3 linked regions of the Pelodiscus sinensis genome follow. The protein of the gene in region 1 binds, or shares a complex with, the protein of each later gene. Links are inferred from orthologs where the notes say so. Each region holds a gene or a part of one and is shown in the gene's direction. Other genes may lie near its edges.

Region 1 (8,009 bases):
GCCTGTGGGAAGGGCAGAACAAGGGGGGTCCACAGGGCTCTGTTTTGGGACCGGCTCTGTTCAGTATCTTCATCAGTTATTGAGATATCAGCAGAGAGAGGACGCTCCTTAAGTTTGCAGATGATCCCCAGCTGGGAGGGGTTGCGACTGCTCTGGAGGACGGGTCAGAATTCAAACTGATCTGGACAAACTGGAGAGCTGGTCTCAGGTGAACAGGACCAATGCGAAGTGCTCCACTCGGGAAGGAACAATCCGTCTCACGCACACGGTGGGGAGCGACTGTCTGGGGAGGAGCCCTGCAGACAGGGTCTAGGGTCGATTTGAAAACAATGGGAAGGTGGGTGGGCAAAGCCCGCTCACGTTCTAAAAGCCCCTCCCCAGCCTTACGGGAGGGACAACTGGACCCGTGTCCAACTGATTACAGGGGACACATAATGACGAAAGGATCAAGGAGTGCGGGTCACAGGTTCAAAATAAGGGAACCAAATGGGGACACGGAGCAGAGAACCCTGGACAGCGCCCACTGCTCCTCAAAGCTGTCGATGGAGCCAGTGGGCGCCACCCAGAGGAACTCTGCCCAGATATGTGACACAAGGGAGGAACAGAAATAGGCCCCACAGTCGCAGAGACCCCCTCGTCCAGCATCCTCCTCCTGGTATTAGAGATGGCGGCTTTCGCTAGGGCCAGGAGGAGGGTGACGAGGAGGTCTTGCGACTTTGTGGGGCCACGGATGGGGTGTGCATAAATGAAAAGGTGAGGGGAAAAGTGCAGCCAGAACCTCAGTAAGAGGTTCTGGAGGAGCCGGAATAGGGGCTGCACCCTGGCGCACTCGAGGTAGGCGTGGGCCAGGTTCTCCCTCACGCCGCAGAAGGGGCAGGTGTCCAGGATAGGGGTGAACCGCCCCAGGTGTCCAGGATAGGGGTGAACCGCCCCAGGTACACACCCGTGCTCACGGCTCCATGAAGGAGCCGCCAACTGATGTCTCCGATGGGCCGCGGGATTAAGATGGAATAAACGCCGGCCCCTCGGGGTTCCCCACCCTCAGTGGATCTGAGGTCGTCCCGCCACTTGGCATGGGGGCGGGACACGCGGGTGGGGAAATGCAGGGTGTGGAGCAGGAGCGTGTGCAGATGTTCCCTGGGCGCGGTTTGCTGCAAGTTCTGCAGCCGGCTGGGGGTCCAGGGACGGGGGGGCCGATAAAAAGGGACGGGGGGGTTGCAGGAGGGGAGGGGCGGGGCGCAGGGACGGGGGGGTTGCAGGAGGGGAGGGGCGGGGCGCAGGGACGGGGGATTGCAGGAGGGGCGGGGCGGGGCGCAGGGACGGGGGGGTTGCAGGAGGGGAGGGGCGGGGCCCAGGGACGGGGGGGTTGCAGGAGGGGAGGGGCGGGGCGCAGGGACGGGGGGGTTGCAGGAGGGGCGGGGCGGGGCGCAGGGACGGGGGGGTTGCAGGAGGGGAGGGGCGGGGCGCAGGGACGGGGGGGTTGCAGGAGGGGAGGGGCGGGGCGCAGGGACGGGGGGGTTGCAGGAGGGGCGGGGCGGGGCGCAGGGAGGGGGATTGCAGGAGGGGAGGGGCGGGGCGCAGGGACGGGGGGTTGCAGGAGGGGAGGGGCGGGGCGCAGGGACGGGGGGTTGCAGGAGGGGCGGGGCGGGGCGCAGGGACGGCGGGGCGCAGGGACGGGGGGGTTGCAGGAGGGGAGGGGCGGGGCGCAGGGACGGGGGGGTTGCAGGAGGGGAGAGGCGGGGCGCAGGGACGGGGGGGTTGCAGGAGGGGAGGGGCGGGGCGCAGGGACGGGGGGGGTTGCAGGAGGGGAGGGGTGCAGGGACGGGGGGGTTGCAGGAGGGGAGGGGCGGGGCGCAGGGACGGGGGGTTGCAGGAGGGGAGGGGCGGGGCGCAGGGACGGGGGGGTTGCAGGAGGGGAGGGGCGCAGGGACGGGGGGTTGCAGGAGGGGAGGGGCGCAGGGACGGGGGGTTGCAGGAGGGGCGGGACGCAGGGACGGGGGGGGTTGCAGGAGGGGAGGGGCGGGGCGCAGGGACGGGGGGGTTGCAGGAGGGGAGGGGCGGGGCGCAGGGACGGGGGGGTTGCAGGAGGGGAGGGGCGCAGGGACGGGGGGGTTGCAGGAGGGGAGGGGCGGGGCGCAGGGACGGGGGGTTGCAGGAGGGAAGGGGCACAGGGACGGGGGGGTTGCAGGAGGGGAGGGGTGCAGGGACGGAGGGGTTGCAGGAGGGGAGGGGCGGGGCGCAGGGACGGGGGGGTTGCAGGAGGGGCGGGGCGCAGGAACGGGGGGTTGCAGGAGGGGAGGGGCGGGGCGCAGGGACGGGACGGGTTGCAGGAGGGGCGGGACGCAGGGACGGGGGGTTGCAGGAGGGGCGGGACGCAGGGACGGGACGGGTTGCAGGAGGGGCGGGGCGCAGGGACGGGGGGGGTTGCAGGATGGGCGGGGCGGGGCGCAGGGACGGGGGGGTTGCAGGAGGGGAGGGGCGGGGCGCAGGGACGGGACGGGTTGCAGGAGGGGCGGGACGCAGGGACGGGGGGTTGCAGGAGGGGAGGGGCGGGGCGCAGGGACGGGACGGGTTGCAGGAGGGGAGGGGCGGGGCGCAGGGACGGGGGGGTTGCAGGAGGGGCGGGACGCAGGGACGGGGGGTTGCAGGAGGGGAAGGGCGGGGTGCAGGGACGGGGGGGTTGCAGGAGGGGAGGGGCGGGGCGCAGGGACGGGGGGGTTGCAGGAGGGGAGGGGTGCAGGGACGCGGGGTTGCAGGAGGGGAGGGGCGGGGTGCAGGGACGGGGGGGTTGCAGGAGGGGAGGGGCGGGGCGCAGGGATGGGACGGGTTGCAGGAGGGGTGGGACGCAGGGACGGGGGGGTTGCAGGAGGGGCGGGACGCAGGGACGGGGGGTTGCAGGAGGGGAAGGGCGGGGTGCAGGGACGGGGGGGTTGCAGGAGGGGAGGGGCGGGGCGCAGGGACGGGGGGGGTTGCAGGAGGGGAGGGGTGCAGGGACGGGGGGTTGCAGGAGGGGAGGGGCGGGGTGCAGGGACGGGGGGGTTGCAGGAGGGGCGGGGCGCAGGGACGGGGGGTTGCAGGAGGGGAGGGGCGGGGCGCAGGGATGGGGGGGTTGCAGGAGGGGCGGGACGCAGGGACGGGGGGGTTGCAGGAGGGGCGGGGCGCAGGGACGGGGGGTTGCAGGAGGGGAGGGGCTGCAGGCCGAGAGCGGCTGCTCCTGGAGTAGGCGCAGGGGGCCCGGGGATCCCCCCCCGTAGTCCAGAGGGCCTGGGCTGTGCCGCGGGCTGGGCGCCGGGGGGGCGTGTGCCAAGGCCCCAGGGAGGGCAGGCGGGGCTGGGGGAGCGCCCCCCCCCGGCTCTGGGCCCCCCCCGGCTCTGCCCCCCCCCTCGGCTCTGGGCCCCCCCGGCTCTGGGCCCCCCCGGCTCTGGCCCCCCTCGCTCTGGGCCCCCCCGGTTCTGGCCCCCTCCGCTCTGGGCCCCCCCCGGTTCTGGCCCCCCCCCCGGCTCTGCCCCCCCCCGGTTCTGGCCCCCCTCCGCTCTGGGCCCCCCCCCGGTTCTGACCCCCCCCCCGGCTCTGCCCCCCCGGCTCTGGGCCCCCCCGGTTCTGCCCCACCCCCCGCTCTCGGCCCCCCCCCCGCTCTGGGCCCCCCCCGGTGTTGCATAAATTGCTGGTTTCGTCCCCTTGGAGGCTAGTCTGATTTACCCCAAGAAGAGAGTCACACTTTCAGGCTGGGTCCAACTCAAGTTTATTGGTTGCAACCAAGGTACGGCTAAGGAACTCAATGTTCAAAGCAGAGCCGACCCCCAACATCTCATAGGCAGGGGTTTTTATAGGGTTCACATCTTTCCTGGTTTAGGTGCCTTAACATGATAGGTTACTTCATCTTTGACATTTAGCATTCCTATAGGTCAGGTTAATTTTCCAAATGAGGTTAAATACAGTGCCTACTTGCTGAACAATGGGCGAGCCATACTTCCCTTTTCCCTTTCCTGCTTGAGCCGGTCACAAGTTTAAAGGATGTGGAATCTATCCATATCTCCACTTAACAGAAGACTGGATTCACCTCCCCTCGTCTCCTTATTACAAGTTATTACCTGTGACAGGCCTTGACCTTTGTCATGTCTTACTCCGATACAAATAGCAAATATATCTAAGCATTAGCAATGTATGTATATTGTACGTGCCCCTCATAGGGGAATCAATGGCTCCGGGGGTTTTGACTTCCCTTTTACACATCACCGGTTCTGGGCCCCCCCGGCTCTGGGCCCCCCCGGCTCTGGCCCCCCTCCACTCTGGGCCCCCCCGGCTCTGGCCCCCCTCCACTCTGGGCCCCCCCCCCGGCTCTGGGCCCCCCCCGGCTCTGGCCCCCCTCCACTCTGGGCCCCCCCCCGGCTCTGGGCCCCCCCGGCTCTGGCCCCCCTCCGCTCTGGGCCCCCCCCGGCTCTGGGCCCCCCCCGGTTCTGGCCCCCCCCCCGGCTCTGCCCCCCCCTGCTCTGAGCCCCCCCCGGCTCTGGGCCCCCCCGGTTCTGCCCCACCCCCCGCTCTCGGCCCCCCCCCCGGCTCTGGGCCCCCCCCGGCTCTGCCCCCCCCCCGCTCTGGGCCCGCGCTGCAGGCGGATGCGGGGCCGGGGAGCCCCGGGGCAGCGATTCCCGCCGCGCATGCAAATAGATGCAAATAGATGCAAATAGCTTCATCCCAGCGGACGAATCGCGGCCTAAGGGCAGCGCCCCCTGGCGGGCCCCGCCCAGCTACTGCCAGGGCACGTGGCCGAGTCTCCAGGCACCCGGGGGGGAGGGGTCGGGCGGCGCGAGGGACCCGATTCCCCCTCCCCCCGGCAAATCAACAGCCGGTTCCGGGATCAAGTCCCCACCCGTAGTGACGTACTTCCGGCCAGCGGGCGCCTGAGCGAAGACAATTTCCGGGTCGTGGCTGTGACGCTCGGCTGGTTCCGGTTCCGGTTCGGGGCGCGATCGCAGCCGCTCTTGTCGGTGTCGGAGGGTCCCGAGTTCGGGCCAGAAGCCGCCGCCATGGCCGCGCCCAGCGCCCTCATGAAGCAGCCGCCGATCCAGTCCACGGCGGGGGCCGTGCCCGTCCGCAACGAGAAGGGTGGGGGGGGGCTCGCGCGGGGGGCGGGGGGACATGGGGGGCTCGGGCGGGGGGACATGGGGGCGCGCGTGGGGCGGATGGGGGGGCTCGCGGGGCGGATGGGGGGACATGGGGGGGCTCGGGCGGGGGGACATGGGGGCGCGCGTGGGGCGGATGGGGGGGCTCGCGGGGCGGATGGGGGGACATGGGGGGGCTCGCGCGCGTGGCCGGGGGGATCTGGGGGTTTGCACGCGGGAATTTGGGGGCTCTCACGGGGGGGCCGGGGGGCTGTGGTCCCCGTGGGGCCGGGGCGTTGAGGTCTGGTCTGGGGTAACCCCTCCCCCTGGCAGGTGAGATCTCCATGGAGAAGGTGAAGGTGAAGCGCTATGTGTCGGGGAAGCGGCCAGACTACGCGCCCATGGAGTCCTCCGACGAGGAGGATGAGGAGTTCCAGTTCATTAAGAAGGCGAAGGAGCAGGAGTTGGAGCCAGAGGAGCAGGAGGAGGATTCAGCCAGCGACCCCCGCCTGCGGCGCTTGCAGAACCGCATTAACGAGGATGTGGAGGAGCGGTAAGCCCCTGCCCATGACAGCCCTGCTTTAGATTGTGTCTACGCTGGCAAATGAGCCACAAAGGTTTTGTTGTTCATGGGCGTTTAAAAAAACAACCCTGACTGACGAGCCTTGTTGTAGCAACCGTTAGGGTGCGTCTGCACTACGCCGCTTTTAGCAGCAAGGCTGTGTCCACACAGCCCTGTGGCTAACAGTCAGCTTGTGAGAACGCTGTTGGTACTTTTGTCAGCAAAATACTGCCACCTCCAAGGAGGTTTTGCTTTGTCAGCAGCAGGGCGCTCTTGCTGACAAAGCGGCGTTTACACTTGCATTTGCCATGGAAAAACTTTGTCGTTCATGGGGGGGCGGGGGGGAGTTAAGCATCCATGGATGACAAAAGTTTTATCAGTTGAGTGCAATTATAGATGCAGTATTAGGGTAAAAAGTGCTTTGTTGGCAGGAGTGCTCGCCAGCTGATAAAGCAAATGCTGCTCTTGGGGAGCGAAAGTATTTTATCAGCAAAGGTGACTTTTGGCAACCCAGCCACGTAAGGTAGACAAAGCTTCAGTCAGACACACCGCCCATGGTGTCCGGCCCGCCTGCCCTGATGTACACTGACAGCTGTAGATACACCTTTGTTATATTTTCAGGAGAGTTTCTCTTTGTGAAAGACCTCCCTTTGGAGATGACTCTGCCAGAGTGCTGTCCAAGGGACTGTGTAAATAAACTAAAATATGAATAAAAACATGGAAAGAAAGTTTTTTGTTGTGGTAGCTACACTTTGCATGAGTCTTTTGTGGAAATACATTTTTCAGGTGTGTAACTTTTTGGAGTGTCCCTTTTTTGTTTTCCCCACATCTTAAATTGAGGGGTCTGAGGAGGAAAAAACAGCTTTGTGCATTGGCACAAATAATTCTTTAGATGTAGATTATTGCAGTTAGTAAGCAAGTTCTGAAAGGTGTCATAAGTGGTACAGCTAGCTCTTCACAGGAAGGCAAAATCTAGAAAACAGGACAACATTCTTGTATGGAGATAGGGAGTATTATATTACTGAATCTCATTGAGAAAAACAGATAGTTGAGGTTTTATTTAACTCTTCTCTAGTCAGTAATTCATATCTATTCGGAGTAGCCAGGTCAGTTCTAGAATTGCTTCAGTCTTTAGCGTAGCCAGCGAAGAAGCAGGAGGATCCCAATGGAAGCTGTGTTTTCTGCAGTGGAAGAAACAGGAAAGTCTGTTCTGGAGCAATCCACCTACTGCTTCTACTGATGCCATGTAAACCAACCTTCTGAGAAGAATTTTACTTTTTCCAGGCTTTGCTGTGATCACTGTGACTGTAGGCCAGGCACTCACAGACTGTCCATGAGAGTTCATGCTGTAGCATCATATTCAGAAGAGCTCTGGTTGTTACAGCATGATTATATTTAGGATACTGGTGGGTCTAGCCGCGTTTTGTAGTTACTTGAACAGCTGAGATTAGCATGTGTTCAGTGTGGTGTACTGAGATGCATCTTTGCTGTGGTTCCTGGAGCCAGAACAGTGGGGTCTGGAGGGTTAGGACAAGGCCATTGTGTAGCTGGAAGCGCTGGCTTGGATGTGTGTGTGGGGACTTCAGTTTGTAGATGGGCCATGCCTATGTCACTGCTTTGTGGTAGCTGAATTGCTAACTTTGGTGTCTGTGCATAGACTGGCAAGGCACCGCAAAATTGTGGAGCCAGAAGTGGTTGGAGAAAGTGACTCAGAGGTGGAGGGAGAAGCTTGGCGTTTGGAACGGGAAGACACCAGCGAGGAGGAGGAGGAAGAGATTGACGACGAGGTATGTGCAGATCCACAAAACATGCTGCAGATGCGCTGCAAGCTCCGGTTTCCCAGGATCTCTCGGCAGAGGTTCCACAGGGTGGAGGCTGGCTCCCTGCAGCAGGAGGCAGTACGAGGTCTGTGGGCAAATGGGACTGGCTAATACACGGCCGGTCTGTCGAGAGGTTAAAGGAGGGTCTACAGGTGGCCTTGCCTTGCCTTTGGGTGTCATGGGCTGAGAGGGACGGCTCTCTCGTGATCAGTAACCGATTAAAGGATAGGAGATGGGCTGTACTGGGTTGGGTGCAGTTCAACATTTGCAAGTCCAAAGCTGATGGCAAAGCCTTACAAAGGGACCGCACGGCAAATGCTTACTCGCGCAAAGCACGGAGACTCGGAGGCATCGCCATGGGATGCTGGTAGCCAAAACTAAAGCTGGGTTTTAATCTACCCTAGAGAAATCACTTCACAGAGGACAGGGCTGTTAGCCAAGCTGGCCAGGCATGCAACCGCACGCTCTGGGTGACCCTAACCCTCCAACTGCCAGAAGGGGGTTGGGGAACCTGGGTGCATCTCTCCA
Region 2 (7,783 bases), on another chromosome or scaffold:
GACGTAAGTCGGATCCGCGTAACTCGGGGACTGCCTGTATTTTTAATAAAATGTTGACAAGACTGTTAATGGTGGTTGTTACAGTGGGAGTCTCCAATGATAACTTGACATAAAACCTTGGCCCACACTTAACTGATGTAACAGTAACAAGCGTTTTATTAATATTATATCTGTGAGACACCTCGCTTTGCACAACAGGCCCGACACACACAGAGCCCTCGTCCTCCCTGTCCACTTCCCCGGTGCTTTGTGGAGAGCCAGGACCCCAGACAGACCCTTCTCAGAGTTCACGGGGAACCCTGGGCCTGCACACACAGCTCCCACCGCTTGGAGAGCGCTCAGGCTGCTGGTACTCACGCACTGGTAGAACTCCCTGTAGCGGCCCCTCGTCATGGCTGGGTTATCCCGTCTGTAAGCTCTGGCAATGTGGTAACGCTTAATGTTGGTGATTTTGTTCATCGCCAAATAACGCGCAAAGGGCACCTGAGCGCAAAGGGTTAAGGATGGAACCTAGAGGCGGCCCAGAGAGCCCATGGCCAGTCATTCAGACCCATTATCACTACAGACAGCTGCTAAGCCAGTACAACACAACACCACGGCAAAGCCCGCGCTAAAGGTCACCCACAAACTGTGGCCACCTGTCCTAAAGGACAGCAAAGTCCCTAGAAGAGCACCTTAGTCATCTCACCAAGTTAGCAGCCAGAACAAATAGCCTCTTTGGTGGGTCATTTGAACAGATGCTGCATTCTTTAGCTGCCAGGATACAAACTGGAATTATGTACATAATACAATGAGGAGAAGGGAGCCAAGATGCTTTCAGGTGAAATGTGAACAGAGCTGCAGTCAGTGAAGCACAGAGGCCCTGGATGGATGACCCGTTAGGCAGCAGTAACAAAGGCAACGGCTCATTCACTCAGAGTAGGGAGGCCATATGAAGAGTCAGAAAGGAGGCTGGCCAAGATGAGCGCAGATCAATGTCCAGGGAGAACGCTGGAGCAAGCCCATGGACGGTTTCAACGTACAGATCGGAAGTCAGCAGGGAGCTAGTTTTGAGGACGGGGTGATGTAGTCACCACTGTGTGTCTAGCAGTAATTCTCGGAATGCTGGAGTTGGAAAGGTTGGGACTTAGCTGCTGCTCCTAGAGACGGGAGTTGCAGCAGGCTGTTGCAGGCGGGAGGGATGAAAGTCTGGCTAAGGAGGAGTCAAGACAGAGGTGTCCGTGGGCAATGCCATGGATGCAGTTACGAGGGAAACGCAGGGGAGGAATGGGATGAACGTATACAGGGTGGAGTTGGCAGACACATTCCTCCTCAGCTAGGTGGAGATGACAGATTCCAGCATGTCCTCACCTCCACCCCACCTCCATCCCACACACCTGCCTAAGAAACACCAGCAATCCTGGGATGAGATGGTGCTTCCCAGGAACATCTGGTAGGATACAGTCAGGTCGTAGCGAAGAGACAGCAGCTCTCCCCCCTGGTCTTTCAGGTCATAGATGAGCTTCGAGTCCTCCCCGTACTTCCCTGTCAGGGTTTCCTACAGAAAAGCAAGACAGCTGCGTCAGGTGAGAGGGGACGAGCACCAGAAACAGAAAATAAGAGCAAGAAGCTCCCAGAGAGAAAGCAGGGAGAATCCTTGTGCCTGACTATAGAGGTGATCAGTTGAGTGAATCCCAGGCAGATGACTAGCAGCTACTGCCCCTTAGAATTCACCCAAACATTTCACGGGACAAAGCTATGGAGCACGTCTGACTCAGGGCTCAGCACCTCCAGCAGCACAGATGTCATGCTGCAGCCCTGCCCTCACCTTCAGCTCAAACACAGGGGTGTCGATGACCTCAGCCCCATGGCGCTTGAAGCAGCTGATGATGGTGTTGAAGATTTTCTCCCGGATGACCATCTGCTTGGGGCTATAGTCCCTGGTGCCCTGAGAGCAAACCAAAGGCAAGTGGGTGAGAAGAAAAATGTTAGCAGTGAAGAGCCACCTGAAGGGCCAAAATCCCAATAATATGTATGTAAGATCTTGACCATAGTCTCTGTTAAGAATCTTTCACATATGCCCAAACTCCGGGGGTCTGGTCTGAGGCATGAGGCCTAGTTAACAATGGACAATACATGGCTAAAGAAAGATTGAGATAAGCAAGAAACAGACATGTTTGTTTAACCAGCCATAAACAACCTAAGACAGAACAACCCAGGGAGCAGTAATTGGGCACTTATCATGAGTTACAGGCACATAATTCACAGAGAGGAACCTCGGAGACTCCGTGGTTCAGAAAGAGATAACAAGTACACACTCCCCGAACGCCAACCAGAGTTCAAGGAGAGGGCTAGCATGTCAGCCTGAGTTATAGCAACCTCATATAGATGCCAACCAGAGCTGAAGAGGATGCAGTGATAACTACACACAACTGTCGTTGCTGTGTACTGTTTACTGTTCTTTTTGCTTTAAGACCCACTAGGAATGTACCTGCGGCCAACCCATCTGGGAAGTGCCATAATCATTTCTATGGACCCGAAATCAGGATTTAACTTACACCTTGCAAGAGGAGAAGTGTGAGGGGTAACACCAGTGTAATAGCAAACATGTTAACCTGAGCTATGGGCGGAGCAATGATGTACCTTTTAGATTATTGGCTTATTGTGCTAATTGTGTCTTGCTGCTAGAACATATTCAGAGGCTCATTGGCACCCTATGTAATCTATTGTAATCAATTGTTTGGCAGTGTCTTACTGAGCCTAATGAGCGAAGTGATACTCTGCCGGCGCTGTGCATAATAAACCCTCGTGCTTGGATCTATACGGTGTCGAAATTCCATTCCTTCACCACCAACCTGCAACAGTAAATCCATCCAATATCTAATGTATTCTCAGCTCCTTCAGCTGCTCAAAGCTCCTGTGCTCAAAAGTTTGGTGCTATAATGGGTAGTTGGACCAAGAATACACGTTGATGATTCGCTGGAACTGCTGCTAGTTGAGAGATTAGGGAACTTTTAGTTCACAGAGTCCATACGGAGAGCTGGTGTACGGTAAATGTATGCCCCTGTTTGCCAGGCACTAATTTCTCATTTACTTGTGCTCTTAGCAGAAGAGTCAGTTGGAAAGAAGGAATGGAATGGGAAAAAGAGAAAGAATTTTAGGCTTGAGAATCTGGAGTTGAGGGAAACTGTGCATCCCACTGTCCCACAGAGTGCAGGATAACAAGCGGGAAAAGGGTAGTTTCAGGGATGGGAGCACTTACACCATATGCTAGTAGAGGAGATAGGGTGGGGGAGCCAGGAGAGAAAACAACCCAGGAGAGACCCACATCCCTGAAGGAGAAGGGAAGTTACCTTGGGGGTTTTGAGAACAAAATTATTTTTCTTTTCCTCAGGTCCCACCTGTGTCTTTGGCTGCAGGAGCTTTACCATGCCCTCTGCCACCTAGAAATGGAGAAAAGACTTTTGATAAACAGCATATGACACTGACTCCTGAGAGCCTGCAGACCTTTCTCCATCCTCTGGCAGCACAAAGTCAGCTCGATTGGGGGACACTACAAAGCCTACAGGAAGTTTCCTTCATTACTAACAGCTCCACTTTAAAGAGGTGGAGAGTTACCTTTGGGGGTCTGGGAATGAAATTCTTTTCCTCTTAATCAGTCCCCAACATATTTCCTTTCTGAGACTACAACTGTGTAACTCAAAAGCTTTGTACCTTCCACCAACTGCGGCTGGTTCAGTGCAAGGCATCTCTTCACCCACCTTGTCTCTTTATTATTTCAGGACTGACACAGCTACAAGCAATATACATAACAGCTCCACTGTAATAGGAGTTCTTGCTTCTACTAGTTTTTCTTGCATAAGTCATTTTAAATGGAAATCTGGGAGCCACTGACGCCTAGTGACTACAGAGTGGAAAGTACAGTGAGTTGTTTGGGCTTTTCAGATAAATTAGAAGACTCCCAAATCGGAATCATCACTTTCTACCCAGCCAGAACAGTCTCTACCAGTCCCTGCCGGACAACGTGCAGGAGACGCAACAGGTCTGCTGCCTCTGCCTCCCCCGTCCTGTAGCGGGGATCGGGGCAGAGCACTCAGCTGACGGCCCGATTGCGCTCACTGCTCGGTGCGCACGGGGCTGGACAGCGAGCCAGACGCGCTGCCGCCCTCGGACCCCACAGCAATTCCAGGGGAGGTTTTCACCAGCAGGGAGGATGGGAGCGACCCGGCGGCAGGATCCCGGCGCCAGCCCCGTGCTGCTCCCTGCTTCCCGACGGCCCGTCGCGGAGCCAAAGCCCCGCGCCCGGAGGCGGGCGGAGCCGGGCCGGGCCTCACCTGGTTCTGGGGGTGACCGGCAAAGGCGCGCAGGCCGCAGTGCGGCGCCAGGCGCGGGCGGAGCCGAGCGGCGAGGGGGCGCAGCCAGCTCATGGCTCAGGCGGCGGCCGGATCCCGAAGGCTCCCGGCGGGGAGGCCCGAGGCAGACGCGGGCGGAGCCGGCCCCGGCCCCCTCTGCCCTGACGCCCGCCCCGGAGGACTCAGGCTCGGGGCAACCATAGAGTAGCTGACTCTAACCATAGAGTCTCAGGGCCTCCTGTGCGTTTCCTCAGAGCTAGAGCGTCCGGGCCGGGCGGACCGAGCTGTTCCGGGTCGGCACGGGGACGACCCTCTGACCTGCAACCAGCCGCCTCAGGGGCCTTTCCCGAGAGGCACAAAAATAAGCTCAAAAGCACCCGGGCCACGGAGCCCGGAACATCCACTTCCGGTCGCCACCCGCCGCCGCTACGCTCTAGCTACGCGGCCGCCCCTCGATGGTGCTCGGGAGGACTGGCTCACTTTACGGCTCTGGCTGCCCGCGTACGGCACCGTCTGGTTCCTTATTCGCTTCCCATCCAACATGGCGTCGGGCAGCGGGGTAGGTGCCGAGAGCGGGGCGCGCGGGGGAGCCCGGGGCTGCTGCCGCTCCCGGCTCGCACCCCGCGAGGCTGCGGGTCCCGGTGCGGGCCGGTCCCCAGGCGGGGTTCGCGGAGGGCTGCGCGCGGGGCCGCACGTGGGCGCGAGCCGCTGATCCCCCCCCCATCCCGCGGGCCCCCCCCATTCCGCTTTCTCCAGCCCCCCCCATCCCGCGGGCCCCCCCCATTCCGCTTTCTCCAGCCCCCCCCATCCCGCGGGCCCCCCCCATTCCGCTTTCTCCAGCCCCCCCATCCCGCGGGCCCGCGCCCGTCCGGGGCCCGGGTCCTGCCCCCGCGTCTCCTCCCGCCGGCAAGCCCCGTGCCCGCGAGCGCCCTCCCCCCGCGGCTGTGGCACCGGCCCCGCCTGTCGGGGGCCGGGCACTGGGCGAGTGCTTTGTGTGCGGCCCCCGGGCCAGTCCCAGGTGCCCCAGAGGGAGGGGTCACAGCAGGGAATCCCCGTGGGACCCCTCCGCTGCCGCCCAGTTACAGACAAGCTAGGAAAGTACCTAGATGAGTTGATGTTCCCCCGAAGACCTCCGGGTGACCTGGCTGAGAACCCTCGATTCGTGCTCTGGGGGTTGATGTCACATCCTGACGGTTGTTGATGTCAGTTATTCTGGGAGACATTTCCTTCCTTGGTTGGCGGTTAATAGCAGGGATGTTAAAAAGTGGGTATTTTGGTAACCGTGTAACCACTGGAAATGTCAGCGGTTACGTGCACCTGCAGCATGGGGCAGTAGCCAGCTCCCTGGGAGCCAGTGCACACAGGCTTCCAGCTGCTGCCCCGCACTCCTGCTTTGCTTTCTGTGCTCTAATACAGAGCTAGTAGTGCAGGGTGGCAGCTGGTTCCCCAGGAGTGGAGCAGGAATGTGCATGTAACCATTCATGTAACCAATAAACTCAGGCTTATTGGTTAACCATGTAAACAGTTATTCTGTTACATCCCTAGTTAATGTTGCTGAGATCTGGGACTGGTGTTAATCCATTCTAAATACTTATTCAGCTTTAGATTTTGCTCCATTGCGTTGCAGTAGGATCATTGCTGCTTTAGTTGAGATCAAACCAGAAGTGCAGAGGCTGTTTTTTAGGTATGCTAACAAGGGCGGGGTTCATCTTACTTTTGTTCTGTGACTCCAATTCTTCTGTGCATGTGGAATTTTGTTTGTAGGACTGTAGGTGTAAGATTTCTATTTAAACTCCGTGAACACTACAGACCCGAGAGGCAGCCATGTAGTTGCTGTATGCCAACAGGAGACAGTTCTCCCATCCTCTTAATTAAACCACCCCTCACGAGTGGCGGGGAAAGCATCTCCTGCCAACATGGAACTGTCTATACCAGTGCTTTTGTTGCTGAAACTTACTTGGTTGATCTGGTGTGTTTTTTCACACTCCTGCCCCAAAAAAGTTTTACCTACCACAGTGCAAGTGTAACTGAGCTGTGGGAGCCAAAGCATTCTGTATGCTTTTCTGACAAAGTTGGACCACAGATTTGCTCCCTTAATTAGTAGTAAAATGGGATGTGGTTGTATCTATCTAGTGGCTTCTTTGTGATGCAGTGCGTCCTGCAGGGGTGTCTCTAATTCTTTTATAACTACTTTGAAATCCCCTCAGCCACTTATTATCTAGCTTAAGTGTTTGTAATTTAAGCTGTTCTAAAACTAAAATTTAACTATAAAAACACTGTTTGATTTGTGACTTCTCCTGAATGACTAACACGGTTACCCCTCTGATACCTGAATGATTGTAACTTATTTGATCTTTGTTGACATTTACATTGATATGTTTAGATATGTTTCTAGTAGGTGTAAATACTTTGACAGATCTATGTGGATAACAGCATGCTTAGATCATGTGCATGAGTGTAGATTTGATCAGTAATTTCGTGTAAGTCTGGGTTCTAAGAATTGCTATAGTATACATTCGGCAGTAGGGATGTCAACAATTAATCCACAAGCAAATACTTATTGAATAGTTGACAGGATAGTCAACTAGTTGCTTCTTATCAGAAAGAGGCAGCAAGGGGTGAGGGAAAAGGTGGGGGTGCTTCAAAACAGCAGCGCCGCGTGCAGTCCGGGGCCTGCTGGGGAGTCTCCTGCTGACCCTGAGCTCCAAGTGGTGCTGGTATTTTGAAATGCTGCAGGGAGCATGGGACCAGTGGGGAACTGCTTGAGTAGCCCACTGACCCCGGGCTCCCGCAGCACTTTTGCCTTTGAAGTGGGGCAACAGCCCTGCAGCTGTTGCTACACTTCAAAGGGGAAGGTGCCCTTATTGATTAATCAACTAGTCAGTGCATCAACTATTCGATTAGCCCATTAATCTAAATTTAACATCCCTATTCGGCAGGTTATAGTCTGTGTTGAAAGTGTTTGTGGGTAAAGGGGCAGATTTATGGTCACTACTTCTTTCTTCTAACATTACAAAAAGATACGTAGGGAGAATTCACCATGATCTTTTCCCTCCCCATAAAAACAAAATGAAACAAAATGGACCTAAGCAGAGGAGAGACACCATTCTCTGCCCCAAGCAAAGCTCAGAGAAACCCTGATCTTCTGAACCACAAATTGAAGGAGGTGGAGCGTCCCCCCTCTCTCCCTGCAAAATGTGCTTGGACAAATATCGTTTTTCTCCCCAGTAGAAGAGACTGTATTTACAGCTAAACTTCAAACAGAGAAGTTGGGAGATTTAACAATCTTATCCCAAGCCCAGAAAAAGAGAGAGACACTTATTCTTCTGAAAGCCCCTCAGAGGCGGGGAAGCTTTCCATGCAAATTCAAGAAGATCTGTTAGATTCTGAGCTGGATGAGGGGCTTTTGGGAGGGCATGAGTCTCTATCTCTGATTTGAAAATCTTATCCCT
Region 3 (7,812 bases), on another chromosome or scaffold:
AGCACTTTACAGGACCTAAGCCTGTGAACCACTTCTACAAGTTCTGTAAAACTAGAATGATACTGAAAAAACTTCAGAGGTGTAGCCAAGTTAGTCTATAACTGGAAAAACTTATAAAACAACAAATAGTCCTGTAGCACCTTAAAATTAACAAAACATGTATAGGGTATCATGAGCTTTCATGCACACAACCCACTTTTTCAGATGAACTGAGAAAACTGTTAGTTGTTGAGTGAATGATCAGCGATATCTAGTGGCCAAAAAAAAACTTTAAAAACTACTAGTCCTGTAGCATGAAGTTAAGGGATCCAAGGTACAAAAAACAGAGAAAGAGAGAGGACGGGGAAAGAAAGAGAAAGAAAAAATGGGGGGCGGGGGGAAATATGGTAGGTTAGAGTGTCCATGCTAAATGAGGCTCATAGAGTGGGTTCTAAATAGACCATTTAGCATGTAGCTCCCACAAATGTTATTAAGTCATTGTAGAGGGCAAGTTATGCCACCTCCATGAAAGGGATAGCGCTTGGGTTGATATAGTTAGGCCAATAAAGTGCCAGTGCAGACACTATGTGTTGCTTACATCAATTGCTGATGCCTGCCCAACAATGCCTCACACTGGTAGTTCAATCAGGGCAAGCAGTGTAGGGTGACACACACTCCACTGACACAAATAGCATAGGGTGGGATATGAAAAACATATTCAATTGCTACAGTGGCCCATGTAACTTAGGTCAACTAGGTACAAAAGCATAGTTTATTTGGTTTATTCCTGTGCCATATCCCAATAGAATTGGTGGGGTTGCAAAGTTGTAACTAACAGATACATTTGGCCCATTTTATTTACTTATTTCAGTTTCTATTTTAAAAGCACCTGCTACTTTAATCTCTTATTAGTAGATAGAGCAGTGACAGAACAAGCAGAACCCAAAAAGGGTGGCTGAAACCACTATCACCGCTGCTGCCTAGGAAGCATGAACAAGATTGTGGTCATAGGTAAAAAACTAACCCTCATAAACTATCAGACCAACCCGTTGGAGGAGCAAAATCAAATGGCAAAAATCTTTGCACCTAGCCTCGAAAAGGTCAATCCTAGGAATTGGCAGCAGGAATGTCTCAAAAGATCTTTACTGCTGCATGGCTATAGAATCGACTTGGACAACTGGGACCTACAGCAGAGCTCAAGAGACACTTCTTGTGCTTGGATTTTTCTGACTGGAAAACAAGCCCAAATTGCTATTGTTGCCAAGAAGAGAAATATGCATCACAGACCCTCATGTATCTCCAGTACACACAAATATACAGCACTAAATTCCTACCTTCCAACTCTTCGTGAGAAGGTCTGTGTTATTTTAAGAGAAGTTTTGGAAAAGATAGGAACAAAACCCTAAGAAGCTGGCTAAAAAAACCCAACAAAATACAGTTGTCTGGTAATTGTTTCTGAAGCCAAAAGCAATATATGTGGCAAATGTAAAGACTTAATCAAGTTGGAACTTGTATTTTTGCCACTCTAATGCTAAGTCAAGTTAATGCACTGTCATGTGTCTTCCACTGAGACACTTTTATAATGAACAAACATGAACAGCAGAATACACAAAATATTGCATCAAACCTGTCTCAAATTACTTACATCCGACCAGCAACTGCAAGATCAAACTGCAACTTGTAACAGCTCTTCATACCCCAGGCACAGGGTACACTGTTTCTTCTTAGATCCAATTAACCTATGACTCCCATATACTACTGTCATGGTATTTATCCAAAAACACTGTGTAAGATGTCATACGAAAACTAACAACAAGCTTTCATTAACATTATTGTAAAGTGTATGTGTTAATGATACATATAACATTATCAATTCCTTCTGAGTGATGTTACTGAACATGTTTAAGACCAGACAGCCTAGCCTCAGTAAAGGTTATAAGTAGGTCTGTCCTAGAGAAAGGAATGTAGGTTCTCTCAATTTACTTATTAGCATTAAACAAAGCTATCCAATTAAAGTAAGTGGGGGTTATCTTGAGCTGGAACTTGACAGCCAAAGAATGAACATGGCTCTTGCACCCCTGAGACAGGAGCCAATCTTCAGGAGGCTTTGCTAACCTGTGAAACAGACAACCCTTTTGTGGATATAAGGAACAGGGAGACTCCAGCCTTCTCTGTAGGTGACAAAGGAACCACGTGATTTGAACTCTGTGATGAGTCCTGGCCAGCCTGGCACCGGTGCAAAGGCTGTTAGAATATTGTATCCAGTTCCACAGTTCAAGAAGGATGTGGATAAATTAGAGAAGGTTCAAAGAAGAGAGAAGAATTTTAAAACAATTACAAACTGGTTTTATAGACTCAGAGCTCAAACTATTAAGACAGGTCTCAGTTTTCTCCATTGGGTATTTCTGTAGGCAGAGCTTGTGAGTTGTCAGAATTCTGAATCATGGTAAGCCACAAACACTGCACTTCACAGAGATACTGTTTAGCCCTGACAATAGGAGCAGCGCTGATATTCATAGCTGACAGAGGAGAAGTGGATCAATAAGATTTAACAGAACTCACCACCATTGAGCCAGGCAACTCAGACGGAAATAGCTGGCTTTATTCGCCAATACAAAGGAATACTGCACTGCTTTTCCAACTTCTTATGTAGGTGAAAGAACAATGAACAAATGGCAACACTCCTGCACAGAAGAATGTCCCCCATAAAACACCATTTCAGAGCCAGTATGTCCCTCCAATTCAAAGGAACTATAAAAGGGTCCAAGTTCCTGCTTAATTTTCTCCAATAGAAAGGTACCGTCACTTAAATACAGTATTAAAATGTTTTCACATGCCAGTTTTACCACCTACAAATCAGAGTACTATAACTAGAATATTAGAGGAAAGAGGTCTCTCCTCTCCTTTACCTGGTACACTGGAGAGCACTTTTTATAGAACCAATCTATTCCTCCTGTATGAGCCCATCAGATTTCCCCACTTGTGGGCCTTTCAAAGGAGGAGAGAAAAGCAATGATAAAACCCAAATCTGTGATTGTAAAACAGCAAATATGGACAGGAATGTGTATGTGTATAAGTGTCTGGGAAAGGGTGAGCATATCTAATGGCTTAACTCAATTTTTGTCACTCACTAGATTTCAAGTTCACAGGGTCACTTGAATCAGTGTGATGGAGATTCTACAGAAGTGTCCTAACTCATCACATACAGCAGGAAAGTATGAGAACTCTTCCATCAACAGTTACATTGTAGATTACTGGAAAGCAAGCTAGCTGCAGGGCAGTAGCACAGCACACTCCTATGCAAACTGGGAAGCACCCAGCTCTCAGGATAATTCAGTCACTTGGTCTCAAGCTGTGGCCTGGGATTCCAACAGACAATGCACTCAACCTCCCAAGAGAAATCTGGGCATTACTAACAGATTCCAGAGACAAGTGGGCCCAGAGAAGCACTGCCACAAAGTGCGTGTTGCTAAGGAAGACAAAAAACGTCTCTCCCCTTGTGTTCTGACTGGAACTTACATTTTACATCACATTTGGGTTACATCTTTAACTGCAAGACAACTTCTTCAACCTTCTCAAATCCTACCTGAGAGTTCATGGCTGCTCTACTCAACAGAAAAAGTACCCAACACTGTTTGTACAAATTTCGCAAAATTACAATTCCTTCCTGACAAAACCCTGTTTTTCAATGGAAGTTTCAGATTTAGAATGGCAAGTTTAAATATCTGAGCCTCTCTCCCACGCCCCCTGTGGCAAGCACATTCTGTCCCCCTTTGAGGCAGGGAAAAGGGTGTTACAGCTCTGCAGATGAGTGAGCCTGCCTTTAGCCTCAGGGCAGTGAAAACAGCTGCCCTTCCCTACAAGTCTGTCTGGCCTTGTGGCTAATTAGTATGACCACCCTCTTAACCTGTCTGTGTGGCCTGAGGAGACGAGACAACCATCCAGGGAGCTAATGCGTAAGGGAACCCAGGCCTTTACTGCTCCATCAGGTTGCAGTCGTGGGCCCTATCAGTGTGTGTGTGTACTCATCAGGAGTCGGAAGGGACCCAACTGAAGCACTTCCTCCTCTGTTATACAACTGCACCAATGGCTGGTCTCAGGCTGCGTCCTACCTTGTCTTCCAGGGGCAAGGTCCATGGTGCTCAGCCTGTGGAAGCTCCAACGGTTCCATCTCTTGGCGTCTGCCTAGGCCTTAGCACGGCTAGCCTCCATGGTGTGGGGCCAACGGCTCCTGGGCGGGGCCTGCAGTGTGCATCCGCTCCCTTCAGTGGTTCCAACTGACTAGCTGAGCTGCTCCCTTTCCCGCTGGCGCGCGCACGGCAGGGAGGGGGGGGCAGGTCTCCCTCTGCCCAGAGCAGGGACTAACGGCTCCTTGTCCAGTCCACCCGCCACACCCCACTGTACAATGGCGTCAGTCAGCCTGAGCTCTGCCGCTTTGCCTCCTCCCGCCTTGACACCCCTCAGCCGTGCGCGCGGGAACACGCCTCAGGCGCGGGGCGGCTCTAGCCGCGGGAGCGGGGAGCCCGAGCCGGGGCGCGGCCCTTAGGACACGGCGCGGGCCGAGGCCCATGGCCGCTCAGCTCTAACGGCCGCGCCGCGAGCCCCTGCCGCGCACACGCCGGCCAGAGGCGAGGCCCGCGGGCGGGGCACTCGAGAGAGCGGCAGGCAACGAGGCCAGGCCCAGAGCGCCGCACGAGCCACGCGGCCAAGGCGGGAATCCACCAACAGTCAGAAGCGAAGCCCCGCCCCTCGCCTGCCTGGCCACGTGGGCTCAGGGCGCGCTAGGCCGGTCACGTGAGGTTAGCCAGACGCTCCGGCGGAAGTAGGTGTGCGCGAGGCCGGAAGTGGCGCTTGCTGCTCTGTCTGGTGGGCGCTGAGGCGATCCTGGGCGGTTGAAGATGTCGATAGAAATCGAGTCCTCGGAGTGAGCGCGGGGCGGGGCGGAGCCGGGGACCCCTGGGGGGGCGGGTCCCGGGCAGGGCCCGTAACTGGCGTGTGCCGGCCTGCGGGAGGGTGACTGGCCTGCTCCCCCGCTGGGGAAGGGGGGCCCGTTACCGGCGGGGGGGCGGGTACCGGGCTGGGGAAGGGGGGCCCGGGGCCCGTTACCGGCGGGGGGGGCGGGTACCGGGCCGGGGAAGGGGGGCCCGGGGCCCGTTACCGGCGGGGGGCGGGTACCGGGCCGGGGAAGGGGGGCCCGGGGCCCGTTACTGGCGGGGGGGCGGGTACCGGGCTGGGGAAGGGGGGCCCGGGGCCCGTTACCGGCGGGGGGGGGCGGGTACCGGGCCGGGGAAGGGGGGCCCGGGGCCCGTTACCGGCGGGGGGGGGGCGGGTACCGGGCCGGGGAAGGGTGGCCCGGGGCCCGTTACCGGCGGGGGGGGGCGGGTACCGAGCCGGGGAAGGGGGGCCCGGGGCCCGTTACCGGCGGGGGGCGAGTACCGGGCTGGGGAAGGGGGGCCCGGGGCCCGTTACCGGCGGGGGGCGAGTACCGGGCTGGGGAAGGGTGGCCCGGGGCCCGTTACTGGCGGGGGGCGGGTACCGGGCTGGGGAAGGGTGGCCCGGGGCCTGTTACCGGCGGGGGGGGGCGGGTACCGGGCCGGGGAAGGGGGGCCCGGGGCCCGTTACCGGCGGGGGGGCGGGTACCGGGCTGGGGAAGGGTGGCCCGGGGCCCGTTACCGGTGGGGGTGGGTTGAGTACACTGGCCTTGTTGCTTGTGGTGACCTGCTGGAGGAGGGGAGCTTGAGCCTGATCCCTGTCTCTCTCTGTGTTGTCTTCGCTCCCCCACTCTCCCTTAGTGTGATCCGGCTCATTATGCAGTACCTGAAGGAGAATAGCCTTCATCGTGCACTGGCCACTCTCCAGGAGGAGACCACTGTGTCCCTCAACACTGTGGACAGCATTGAGAGCTTTGTGGCAGACATCAACAGTGGGCACTGGGACACAGTGTTACAGGCTATACAGTCCCTCAAGCTTCCAGACAAGACCCTGATTGACCTCTATGAACAGGTGGATGTGTCACCAACATAGTATCAGCCATATGCTCTATTGTGCATTTATGAACATCACTCTGTTGCCCTTAACTACAAAATCAAAGTTATCAGAATGTCACAAGGGAAAATTACTCTATGGTCCTGGGCCTGAATGCATGCCTTGCAGCACTGGATGAGTGCCTGAATAGATTCCCACCAAGGATAAAACTAGGGTTGTGGGGAAGAAATGAACTGTATGTTTAATTGTTAAACTCTTTCTTCCTCCCTGATACGTTTCTCAAATCTTTTAATGCTTTTATTTTTTTTAAATTATAGATAGGAAGTTCATCTTGGGATATTTGTTAAATACATACCTTCAGCATCAATAATGAATTAATGATCCTGGAAGACTGAGATGGAGTCCGTGCAGCTACTCCCATTGTGGCTCTGCACTACTTTCAGCTGGCTCCTAAAACAATTTTAATGCAGAGCCACAGTGGGAGTTGCTGCCAGGACTGAGCCAGCCTGCAAGGAGGAGGGGAGGGAACTGTGTGTAACCAGTGGCATTAACCAATAAGCACGTGCTTATTGGTTAATTGTTTAATCAGATACACTATCACATCCCTACTTTGCAGTAGTAAATGCTATTCCATTGTTTAACTGTTAACATAAGAGTTGCATTTTATCGTGTGAATACTAAGTTTGTTTATGTTACTCCAGGTTGTTCTGGAATTAATAGAGCTCCGTGAATTGGGTGCTGCCAGATCCCTTCTGAGGCAAACTGATCCTATGATCATGTTAAAACAGACTCAGCCAGAGAGATACATTCACCTTGAGAATCTCCTGGCTAGGTCCTACTTTGACCCTCGTGAAGTAAGTTGTGTTTGTGGAATTTTTTACAAAAGTTATACTTATATGATTTGCTTGGAGAATTTGTAACTAGCGTAACACTTTTGCATTTGTAACTAGTGTAACACTTATTAAAGAAAAGCTTGCTCTATTTAGTGTTTTTTTTCCTTCCAGATTTTCCTGTGTTAAACCATCCCCATTTCTCAAATTCTGTATTTGTTTGTTTTTATTTTGTTATGATACTGCAGTTGTTAGTGTTTGTTGAAGTTTCTACTAAGCACTTCATGAATTTGTTTTTTTTTAATATTCACAAGTAGCTAAAACACCGAGTTGGAGATCAAATTCAGTTTTAATTTCTGCCGCTGACTTTCGATATGATTTTGGGCAAGTCACCTAATCACTCTGTACCTATTTTCCCATCTTTATAGTGCCAGAAACAATACTTTTCTACTTTTGTCAATCTGAAAATGCTTTTGTCAATCTGAAAATGTAAGCATCTAATCGACTACCCGATAAGCCTAGGTTTATCAGATAGTCAAGTCATTACTTAGTCACATCTCCCCGTGGGGAGAGCAGGAGTTGGTGCTGTGGGGAGCCGACTTAAAAGTCAGTTCCCCCCAGCACCGTCTCTGTGGGGGGGGGCACACAGGGGAGGCAGAGACTCAGCTGTCCTGGCTTGTGTCCAGTCCCAGACATGGTGCCTCTGCTTTTTAAATATAGCAAGAGCTGCCCAGCTCTTACTACATTTGAAAGGTAGAGCCGCAGCAGAATTAGCTCCCAGGGTGGGAGGTAGCCCTGCCATGGCTCTGCAGTTTCCCCCCTTATTGACTAATTGAGAAGTTGATGGAAATTCCATCAACTACTCAATTAACTGATTAAACGTAATATAACATCCTTAGTCCCAGAACCATCCATGGGGGTCACCAATGATGCTGGACTAAGGGTTCTGCCGGAGTAGGGAAGTCTGGATTACAGAGATTCAACCTATAGTTGTATTTTATTTTTAGTAAAAATGACA

Evidence for each region. Proteins that work in one complex are often made in the same cells at the same time.
Region 2: MFAP1 (region 1) and ZMAT2 share a complex: the UniProt entries of both Homo sapiens proteins name them as parts of the spliceosome B complex. The link is inferred for Pelodiscus sinensis from reciprocal best matches to the Homo sapiens genes MFAP1 and ZMAT2.
Region 3: MFAP1 (region 1) and SMU1 share a complex: the UniProt entries of both Homo sapiens proteins name them as parts of the spliceosome B complex. The link is inferred for Pelodiscus sinensis from reciprocal best matches to the Homo sapiens genes MFAP1 and SMU1.

Annotation. Positions count from the first base shown.
Region 1 is NW_027466027.1:124,989-132,997, reverse strand, and holds the start of MFAP1 (microfibrillar-associated protein 1), read left to right. Parts: upstream 1-4,920; 5' UTR 4,921-5,024; coding exon 5,025-5,103; intron 5,104-5,432; coding exon 5,433-5,652; intron 5,653-7,318; coding exon 7,319-7,448; intron 7,449-8,009. UniProt on the Homo sapiens protein: Involved in pre-mRNA splicing as a component of the spliceosome.
Region 2 is NC_134727.1:1,797,313-1,805,095, reverse strand, and holds the start of ZMAT2 (zinc finger matrin-type protein 2), read left to right. Parts: upstream 1-4,722; 5' UTR 4,723-4,872; coding exon 4,873-4,890; intron 4,891-7,783. Other genes in the region: histidine--tRNA ligase, cytoplasmic-like, read right to left, coding at 358-483, 1,442-1,537, 1,808-1,927, 3,333-3,422, 4,314-4,406. UniProt on the Homo sapiens protein: Involved in pre-mRNA splicing as a component of the spliceosome.
Region 3 is NC_134716.1:58,692-66,503, reverse strand, and holds the start of SMU1 (WD40 repeat-containing protein SMU1), read left to right. Parts: upstream 1-4,751; 5' UTR 4,752-4,877; coding exon 4,878-4,903; intron 4,904-5,771; coding exon 5,772-5,982; intron 5,983-6,665; coding exon 6,666-6,818; intron 6,819-7,812. UniProt on the Homo sapiens protein: Involved in pre-mRNA splicing as a component of the spliceosome. Regulates alternative splicing of the HSPG2 pre-mRNA. Required for normal accumulation of IK.